Mus musculus: one gene and its partner. The protein of the gene in region 1 purifies or fractionates together with the protein of each later gene. This does not show direct contact. Links are inferred from orthologs where the notes say so. Each region holds a gene or a part of one and is shown on either strand. Other genes may lie near its edges.

The links. Proteins that work in one complex are often made in the same cells at the same time.
Region 2: the proteins of Rnf187 (region 1) and Yap1 purify together in Homo sapiens (affinity purification with western blotting; 3 studies listed by BioGRID, with this or other methods). This does not show direct contact. The link is inferred for Mus musculus from reciprocal best matches to the Homo sapiens genes RNF187 and YAP1.

What each region holds. Positions count from the first base shown.
Region 1 is NC_000077.6:58,931,781-58,935,909, forward strand, and holds the end of Rnf187 (E3 ubiquitin-protein ligase RNF187), read right to left. Parts: intron 2,452-4,129; coding exon 2,227-2,451; intron 1,617-2,226; coding exon 1,614-1,616; 3' UTR 508-1,613; downstream 1-507.
Region 2 is NC_000075.6:8,001,797-8,005,949, forward strand, and holds the start of Yap1 (transcriptional coactivator YAP1), read right to left. Parts: upstream 2,801-4,153; 5' UTR 2,595-2,800; coding exon 2,319-2,594; intron 1-2,318. UniProt on the Homo sapiens protein: Transcriptional regulator with dual roles as a coactivator and corepressor. Critical downstream regulatory target in the Hippo signaling pathway, crucial for organ size control and tumor suppression by restricting proliferation and promoting apoptosis.

The DNA.
Region 1 (4,129 bases):
CCTAGACCTTCTCCACACCTGCTAGTCTATCAGTTTAATGTTCATTCTGGTCCCCAACAGAGACCACGTTCTGTCACTGAGGAGCACACTACTCAGGGCTGCTCTCGCTGCCTGCCATCTGCATGACTCAAGGATCAAGGATGCTACAGCCTGGGCACCCAGTCACCCTGGGTATGAATGTGACCAGTCTGTTACCTTCCACCCTGGGTGCATCTGCGCAGCTGGCCAGCCCTCTGCAGACCCTGTCTGGTGGGCTAAGCCAGAGTCCTCTCACCACGATGTCTCCTCTTGGTCCTTCTATCCATCCATGGATCCTGCTTCCCAGATGCAATGCCCACAGCCAACGCTGGGTTTGGGATGACACACACCCACACCCACACCCCATCCTGGAATATCTTAGTGACAGTCTCCTTATCTTGCTTTCAAAGGTATCAAAGTCCTTGGAACCTGGTCAGGGAAGGGGGAAGCAGCTGTGTAGACAAAGACTAGGAGGTATGGAAACAGAGAGGCTGGAGCAAACCACTTTATTCAGCACTGAAAACCCAGCCCACCTGCGAGTCAAGTTGAGGCCGGTCACTACATCCAAGGCTGGGGCCTTCTGGGGACAGAACATTGTTACCCGAAACCTAAATACATCTATGTCTTTGGCCCCTGACCTGTGTCTGTCCACTCTGCCGGGTTTTGTTTCTTGGACTAGTTATCTACACACACGATGCTGCAGGCAACCACACTACCGCTACGTCACAAGTTTTGTGAAATTCACCTATTGGAGAAAATATGAGGTGAGCAAAAGCCAAAACTACAGCGAAGTGAAGCACCCGGCGGCCTGGGGATGCCACCCTGCTGCTCTTCTGCAGGGAAGGAGGTCCCTTCCATCAGAGGTGGGAAGGAGGAGAAATCACTTTGGGGATGCCAGCGACACCCAAAGGGGCACAAGCTGGGAGGAAGAGAGGCTGGGAAGCGAAGCAGAAGGCGGCTCCCAGGACCTGGCACAGTGAGACCCAAAGTGAGGAAAGAGGTCCTCTGGTGGGTGAGGAATACTGCATTAACACTCAGGTCCCAGCCAAACCCCAGGACCTCCTGCATCCCTATTCTCTGGCACTAACACACACAGGCTGACTGTAACTGGTGCGCCTCAGAACCTTGCTGAGGGATGTCTAGTGAGCCAACCCTGTCACGGGCACCAATGGGAAAGGTGTGAGGCTTGGTTCCTGGATACTAGAACGAATGCCACACTAAGCTGAGCCATGGCAAAACAAGAAGCAGGGGCTTCCGAGCTGCCAAGTGGTCCCAGGCAGGGCTGGCACACACTGGGAAAGGAATCCCAGGACTGGTAGGTCTCTATTTGGAACAGGTACAAGCCCGAGCACATTCATGCCCCAAAGAAAATGAAAAACACTGCTGAACAATGGAACTATGTGCATGGCCAGCGGGGCACCTCTGATGCTTCATCCCAGGCTGTCAAGTGTTGATGGAGATGGGGATCTGTCCAGGATGAAGGGTGGTGCCAGGCAGAGGCCTGAGGGATGTAGGTAGGGGTGCTGCAGGCCAGCTGTAGAAGGTGGTTCCTTCTGCCTCGTGCTCCAGGGGGCCAGCCTGCTGGGCCAGCATCATCACTGCAGAGAAGGGACAAACAGACAAAGGGGAAAGACAGGGAGACAAGAGAAAATGAAGGGAGATACACAGGTATAGACAGTAAGACAGAGTGCTGCTATCCTGCGTACAATGCACACAGAGCCAAGGTGACTTGACAACCCATCTAAGAGGGGTCCAAAGCCTGTGTCTCTGAGGTTGTATAGGCCCCAAACAGCTGATGGGTATGTGGGAAGGGAATACCTCAGTTACAGGTGGCAGCCGATGCCCCATTACAAGCTCAGGCTGACTTCCAAGCAGGTTGCCTCTGGTGTTGGTCCAAGACTCGGGGAATGAGATGAGGATGAGGGATGACAGGGGGGATACCCTGGCTACTCCTGCTCACAGAGCCTAAGGTGGGGAAAACCCTCCCAGTGAGACCCTAGGCATCTCCTAGCTTCGTCAGCTCTAAGTTCCTTCCAACTACTTTTCCCAACCACCTACTTATTCTCTGATACTCAGACCTGAGCCACAACAGGGGCAAGGTGGGCTGTGGCTCGAACCTTGCCTGTAGGAGAGTCTCTCTTCCACCGTGGCTGAGTTGACTAGAGATGTGCTGTGGAAAGAGGTGCTCACCCCCTGCCCAGGTGGTACCTGCAGAAGCATGCTGAGGCCCAGGTTGCGGTGCTTCTTCTCCAGCTCTGACACAGCCTGCAGCAGGGACCGGAAGCGATCTGCCGGGTCGGCCAGCTCATCATCCTCGGAAGCACCCTCATCCTTCTCAGCCTCTTGCAGAAAGTGTTCCTCCTCCTCCACGAAGAAGGCCCGAAGCTTCTTATAGTCAGTCAGGGCCTTCTTCCTTCGGTCCATAACATGCCCCTGCAGGGTGAGAGGGGGAAGGGACAACGGTCCACACTGGACCATACCTGCTGCCAATGTGTTTAAAGAAAGAGAAGGCCCTCTACTCTGAAAGAAATTATGCTCTCAAAATAAGCTGGGACTTTTGAATTAAATCTACTTTAAAAACTAAAATCACAGGTACGAGAACTCTCCCTGTTTTCCAAAACAAGAAGTGAAATCTCCACATGAAAGGATGCCTCTGACATCCCTTATGGTGGTATTAGCTTGGTCCCACTGTCGTGATGTGCAGTTGGCAGGGCCTTGCAGCTCTCCATCACTCATGTGGGTGTATCCTCTGAAGGGATGGATGTTGGTCTCATGGGCCACCAGCTGGCTCCCAAGACAGCTAGCTGTTACAGAGGGAACCACCTTGGGTGCATTCACTAGACACAGTAGGCAGAGCCTTCTGATCTTTGACCTTCAGCCACTAGAACTCATAACTTGCCTTCTTTACACAGTACTCAGTCCTGGCTATTTTGTTACAGCAGCAGAACAAAGGCTACCTCTCTCCTACACAGCGATTTCATCAAGGATGCCACACAGACTTTGTTAAGATACTTTTCTTTATGCTTCCCAAATGAATCTTTTTTTTTTTTTTTTTTTTTTTTTGGTTTTTTTGAGACAGCGTTTCTCTGTGTAGCCCTGGCTGTCCTGGAACTCACTCTGTAGACCAGGCTGGCTTCGAACTCAGAAATCCTCCTGCCTCTGCCTCCCAAGTGCTGGGATTAAAGGCGTGTGCCACCACCGCCTAGCCCAAATGAATCACTTTTTTCCAACCTGCTAGTTTCTGTCCAATATTCTCAGTGTATTGTAAGATGCGACAGCTTCTTTGGGTCATTACCTTGTGAGGCCTCTCATACCATTAAAACTTCCATGAAGGCAATGTTTGGTCTCCCCTGCACTGTCCTTCATGACTGATTCCAGGAACTGCATCCCCAAGACACTAAAGTGTATGGATGCTCAAGATCCTTCTATGAAACGGCACAACATTAACACAGATGCCATCTGCATCCTCTCCTTCCCTGTGTTTCAGGTCCTCTAACACAGAGCCATCTGCATCCTCTCCTTCCCTGTGTTTCAGGTCCTCTAACACAGAGCCACCTGCATCCTCTCCTTCCCTGTTTCAGGTCCTCTAACACAGAGCCACCTGCATCCTCTCCTTCCCTGTGTTTCAGGTCCTCTAACACAGAGCCACCTGCATCCTCTCCTTCCCTGTGTTTCAGGTCCTCTAACACAGAGCCACCTGCATCCTCTCCTTCCCTGTGTTTCAGGTCCTCTAACACAGAGCCACCTGCATCCTCTCCTTCCCTGTGTTTCAGGTCCTCTAACACAGAGCCACCTGCATCCTCTCCTTCCCTGTGTTTCAGGTCATCTAACACAGAGCCACCTGCATCCCCCCCTGTGCTGCAGGTCCACTCCACTGGATACAATTTCCCTAACACAACATAAGTTCCTTTGTAAAGAGCTGACTAGAAAGAAGTCCGTACACTAAGTGCACGTGTAAGCACCAGGCCTGCTGTCTGTCTGTGGTGCTTGCTTTGCACGATTACATTCAGAGCCTCTCACATGCTGGACAAGCACTGCACCAACCAGACACACTCTCATTTCTGAGTACATTTCTCATCTGAAGACTGTTAAGGCCTTAGACATACAACCC
Region 2 (4,153 bases), on another chromosome or scaffold:
TAAGTATCAAATGTAAACTTTAATGTTTAATTTCTTACACAACAGGAACACACCAGACCAAATAGACCATTACAAAAATTTAATAGGCATTATAAATGTTATTTTACTGATGAACAGTCCATCTGGATGAATGTCTACCTCCTAGACAGTGTGAAAACAACAAATACTAGGCATAATAACTTTATTTAGTGGTAAAGAATAATGCTCATCCTACATAACTCAAAATAATCAGTACTTTTCTAAGCAGTGTGGTTACTTTTCCAGGTTCTAGAACAAAACCTGGGGAACGACTGGGCACTTTTTTCTTTGTTGTAAATGTCTAATGTTCCCCCATCTTTCACTTTTTTGACTGTAAACAAATGTGATAAGTCAGCCATTATAAATTATACAACATTTAATAAATTCAAACTCTCAGAACTGCACCAATGCTAAAAGCTCCTCAATGAAGAGAATAATAGGCTAGCCCTTTTTGTGCCTAGAGAAAGACTTTTTCAATTCAATTATAATTTGTGGATTCACACACTTATAATAGCTGGGTGAGGGACAAAAGAAAAATCTGCAAAGACCCCAATGATTCAAATTTGGGTCCAATCAGACCAGTGTTAAGACAGGGGTCAGGAATAAACTTGTGTGTAAATGAGCTTTTCCAAGCGAGAGGATATAGGGCTAGAAGACTTCTCAGGCAGGGGCCTGTGGATGATTATTTACTAACTCTGATACATACCATTCACAGTCCAATCCTTTTATTGGAATTAGGGTTTCTCAAAACGTTTTTCTAGATTTATGTTGATAAGGAAACTGAAAAGACCCAGCAGTCATTTAAAGCCCCATAGGAAAACCCCGTTTTTGAGTTTCCAGATAGATTGAATTTTAGGAAACCATTAGCGCACAGAAAAGGTAAATTTATTGACGAACAGCTCTCTTAAAACGCTTAGAGAGAATGCAAATGTACCCACGAACGGCCCAGTGGAAGCCAGTATTACAAGTACACTTTCCCGGGTTCATTCCTTCTGACTTCTAAGTGCTACAAAATGGAGCGTTCAATCTGTGTATTCCTTCAAAGTTGCCCCAGCGGTTTCTCGATTGCATGTCACATACGTTTAGTTCAGCGAGTACAGAAACTCACTTGTGGGGGAGGGAGCAAATAGTATCTAGGTCTACTGTTGTTACAAATTAAGAGTTTATTTAGCCGAGCAGCTAGATAACTTTTCCTTCCTTCTTAAGAGGCTTTTTGTAGGGAGGTTAATCGAGATTTTCGAAGCTTCAAAAACCCCGTTCTACAACAAGCCTGCCTAGGAGGGGGGGCTGGAGTGGGGGCGGCAACTCTTCTTTCCACTCAAGTTACAGCCCGAGTGGGCTAACGACATGGCAGTGTTTGGAAAACCAATTAAGTTTTGGGCAAAGTTCCTGTGCTGCTTTAGCCTAAAGCAAGTTCTTTAAAAATTAAGTAATTAAAAGCGGGGGGAGCGACACTAAAGAAATCTACCAGGACCTATCGGAATGTTAATACTTTGAAACGGTTTCACTTCTGTGCTGGATCCAGTTGGGAAAATAACCAGGCGTCGTGGATACGGATAAGCAGCCATGTTCACATCCGCAGTCAGTTAAAGAGCAATGGCGAGCTTGGAATTAGTCATTGCTTCCCAAACATTACCTTTAATCACAGTTGAGCCGGGCAGAACTCGGCCTATGAGTCAACCTGCAACGCGCTATCAAAGGCCGGCGCAGAAACCTCTGCACCGTGAGCGCAGCCGAGCTCCTGCGCAACACACAGACGTGGCTCATTTAAAAGCTTTCGGGCCGAACAGTAAATAATAGGTTACGATTTAGGAAAAGGACACGTGAGCCCACCGAGTGTGAAAGGATCCCGCCCGCGCGAGTTCCAGGGCACGGCGGAGGCGAGTGGGGGGTCGAGGGAGCTTCGCTCGGGCTGGGGAGCCCGAACCCTGCATCCGGAGAGCGCCTGGGCCGCGAGAACAGAAAAGCTTTCGGGAGAGGGAGGGGGAGGGGACCGGGAGAAGGAACCAGAAACTCAATGGACCAGTTCAACCCCCACCCCTCACCGGCACGCGAAAACAAGAGGGCAGTTAACACAGCTCCACCGGAGACTGCAGTGGCGCGGGAAGGGGAGATCGGGTACCCCCGGCTGGGGTCCCGCACAAGACGCCGGCCCCCTCCCCCTCCTCCCCTCCCCCTCGTCAGAGCGAAGGTGCGGAGCGGAGGCGCGCGCATTGTGCACCCCCCCTGCGGCCAACTCCGCGAAAACAACCCCCAGCACCGCACCCCCACGCGGCCCCGCGCCCCCGGGATACCCTTACCTGTCGCGAGTGGGACTTGGGCTCAGGCGGCTTGAAGAAGGAGTCGGGCAGCTTGCGAAGCCGCATGGGCACGGTCTGAGGCACGTTGGCCGTCTTGGGGTTCATGACGGCATTGAAGAGCGCCTCCAAGTCGGTCTCCGAGTCCCCGCGGACGTGCACGACCTGGTGGCCGGCCGGGGGTGCGGGCGGGGCCGCGGGGGTCCCGGCCGGAGACACGGACGGCGGCGCGGGGCCTTGCGGGGCCGGCTGGGGCGGCGGCTGTTGCGCGGGCTCCATGGCTGCGGCCTCGTTCGACGCTCGGGGCACTGCGCTCAGGTTCGGGGGGCTGCGACGCGCGCCCGCATCGCCCTGCACTCCTTGCCCGAGGCCGCCTCCCCTCTCCTCCCCTCCCCTCCGCGAGCTCCTTCCTTCCTCCCTTTCTTTGCCCCCGGCCGCGGCGGCGTCCCAACTGAGACAGAAACTTTGGCTCCAGACGCCCAAACTAAAAAGTTGCGAGGAGCGCCCGCCCGCGCGCCTCGCGGGCTCCGCCTCCTCGACGCTCTTCCTTCCTCTGCGCGCCCGCCCGCACCGAATCCGCGGCCCGCGGCCCCCGGGGAAACTTTCCCTGCGCGTCGCTACATTCCTGCAGACTCCCGGCCGCACGTGACCCGGGGGCGACCGCGCTGCGTGCGCACCCACCGGCCGGCCCCGAGCCGCTCGGCTGCGGGCGCAGATCCTGCCGGACCCGCGCGCAACGCCAAGGCCGCGAGGAATCGGGACAACCGGCTTGGTAGGGTGGATGCAAAGGCCACACTGTTCACCCGCACTAAGGTTAATCCGGTCCGCGTTTTAACATTGATTCCATTTACCACCAAGTTTGAAGAAGAAACAACAAAACACTTGAGGGCGGGTGCAAATGATTTCAAAGTGAAGCTTGGAAACCAGGAGTTGCACTGGGAGTACCTTACAAAAGGAAACAGTATTACTTTTTAAATTTTGTTTTAAACAGGCTTTACTCTGTAGTCAAGGATATCCTCCAACTCTTTGTGCCACAGCTTCCACAGACAGCTAGGATTCCAAGCCAGGGCCTCTGCTAGCCCGGTTTTTGTAGGTTCATAGGTTCGTCCTTTTTCTTTTCTTTTTTCTTTTTTTTCTTTTCTTTCTTCCTTCCTTCCGCTCCCCCTTTCTCCCTCTCCTTCCTTTTTCTTCCTTTTTGTGTTTCTAATTATGTACAAGTGAGCACAGGTGAAGGTCAGAGGACCATTTGTGGGATCTGTTTTCTTCTTGGTTGTGGGTCCCAGAAATCGAGCTCAGGTACCCTGAACCATCCATCTCATGTTGACTACCCTATTTTGCTGTTTTGAGTCAGGTTCCTATGTAGCTAAGGCTTTCCTCCAATTCACTACATAACTGAGGCTAGCTTAAAATTTCTGCTCCCCCTACCTCAGCCTATAAAGGGCTCAAATAACAAATGTGGGGCACCTTGCTCAGCAAACTTTTTTTTTTTTTAAGTGAAAAGTCAATTTTTTAACACCAAAACTTGACATTTCTTTGGGAACTTCAACTCAAAACATAAGTCACTGTTTAACCTCATGGAGCATTGTGGGTTTTCCTCTTGTGTTTAGTACAAGGGTAAACAATGCAGGGTAGACTAAGAAATGAACCTCAATGGAGATTACCTTAGCCCCTGATTCTCTGTGTGTCAGTCTTTTATCTATCAGGAGCCTATCTGGAATCACTCCAAAAATGATAAAAATCTGTTCGTGTTTTTTAAGTTAATTATTTTGTATTGGGTGTTTTGCCTGAGTTTATGTCTTTGCCTTGGTTCCACAGAGGTCCAAAAGATGGTATTAGAT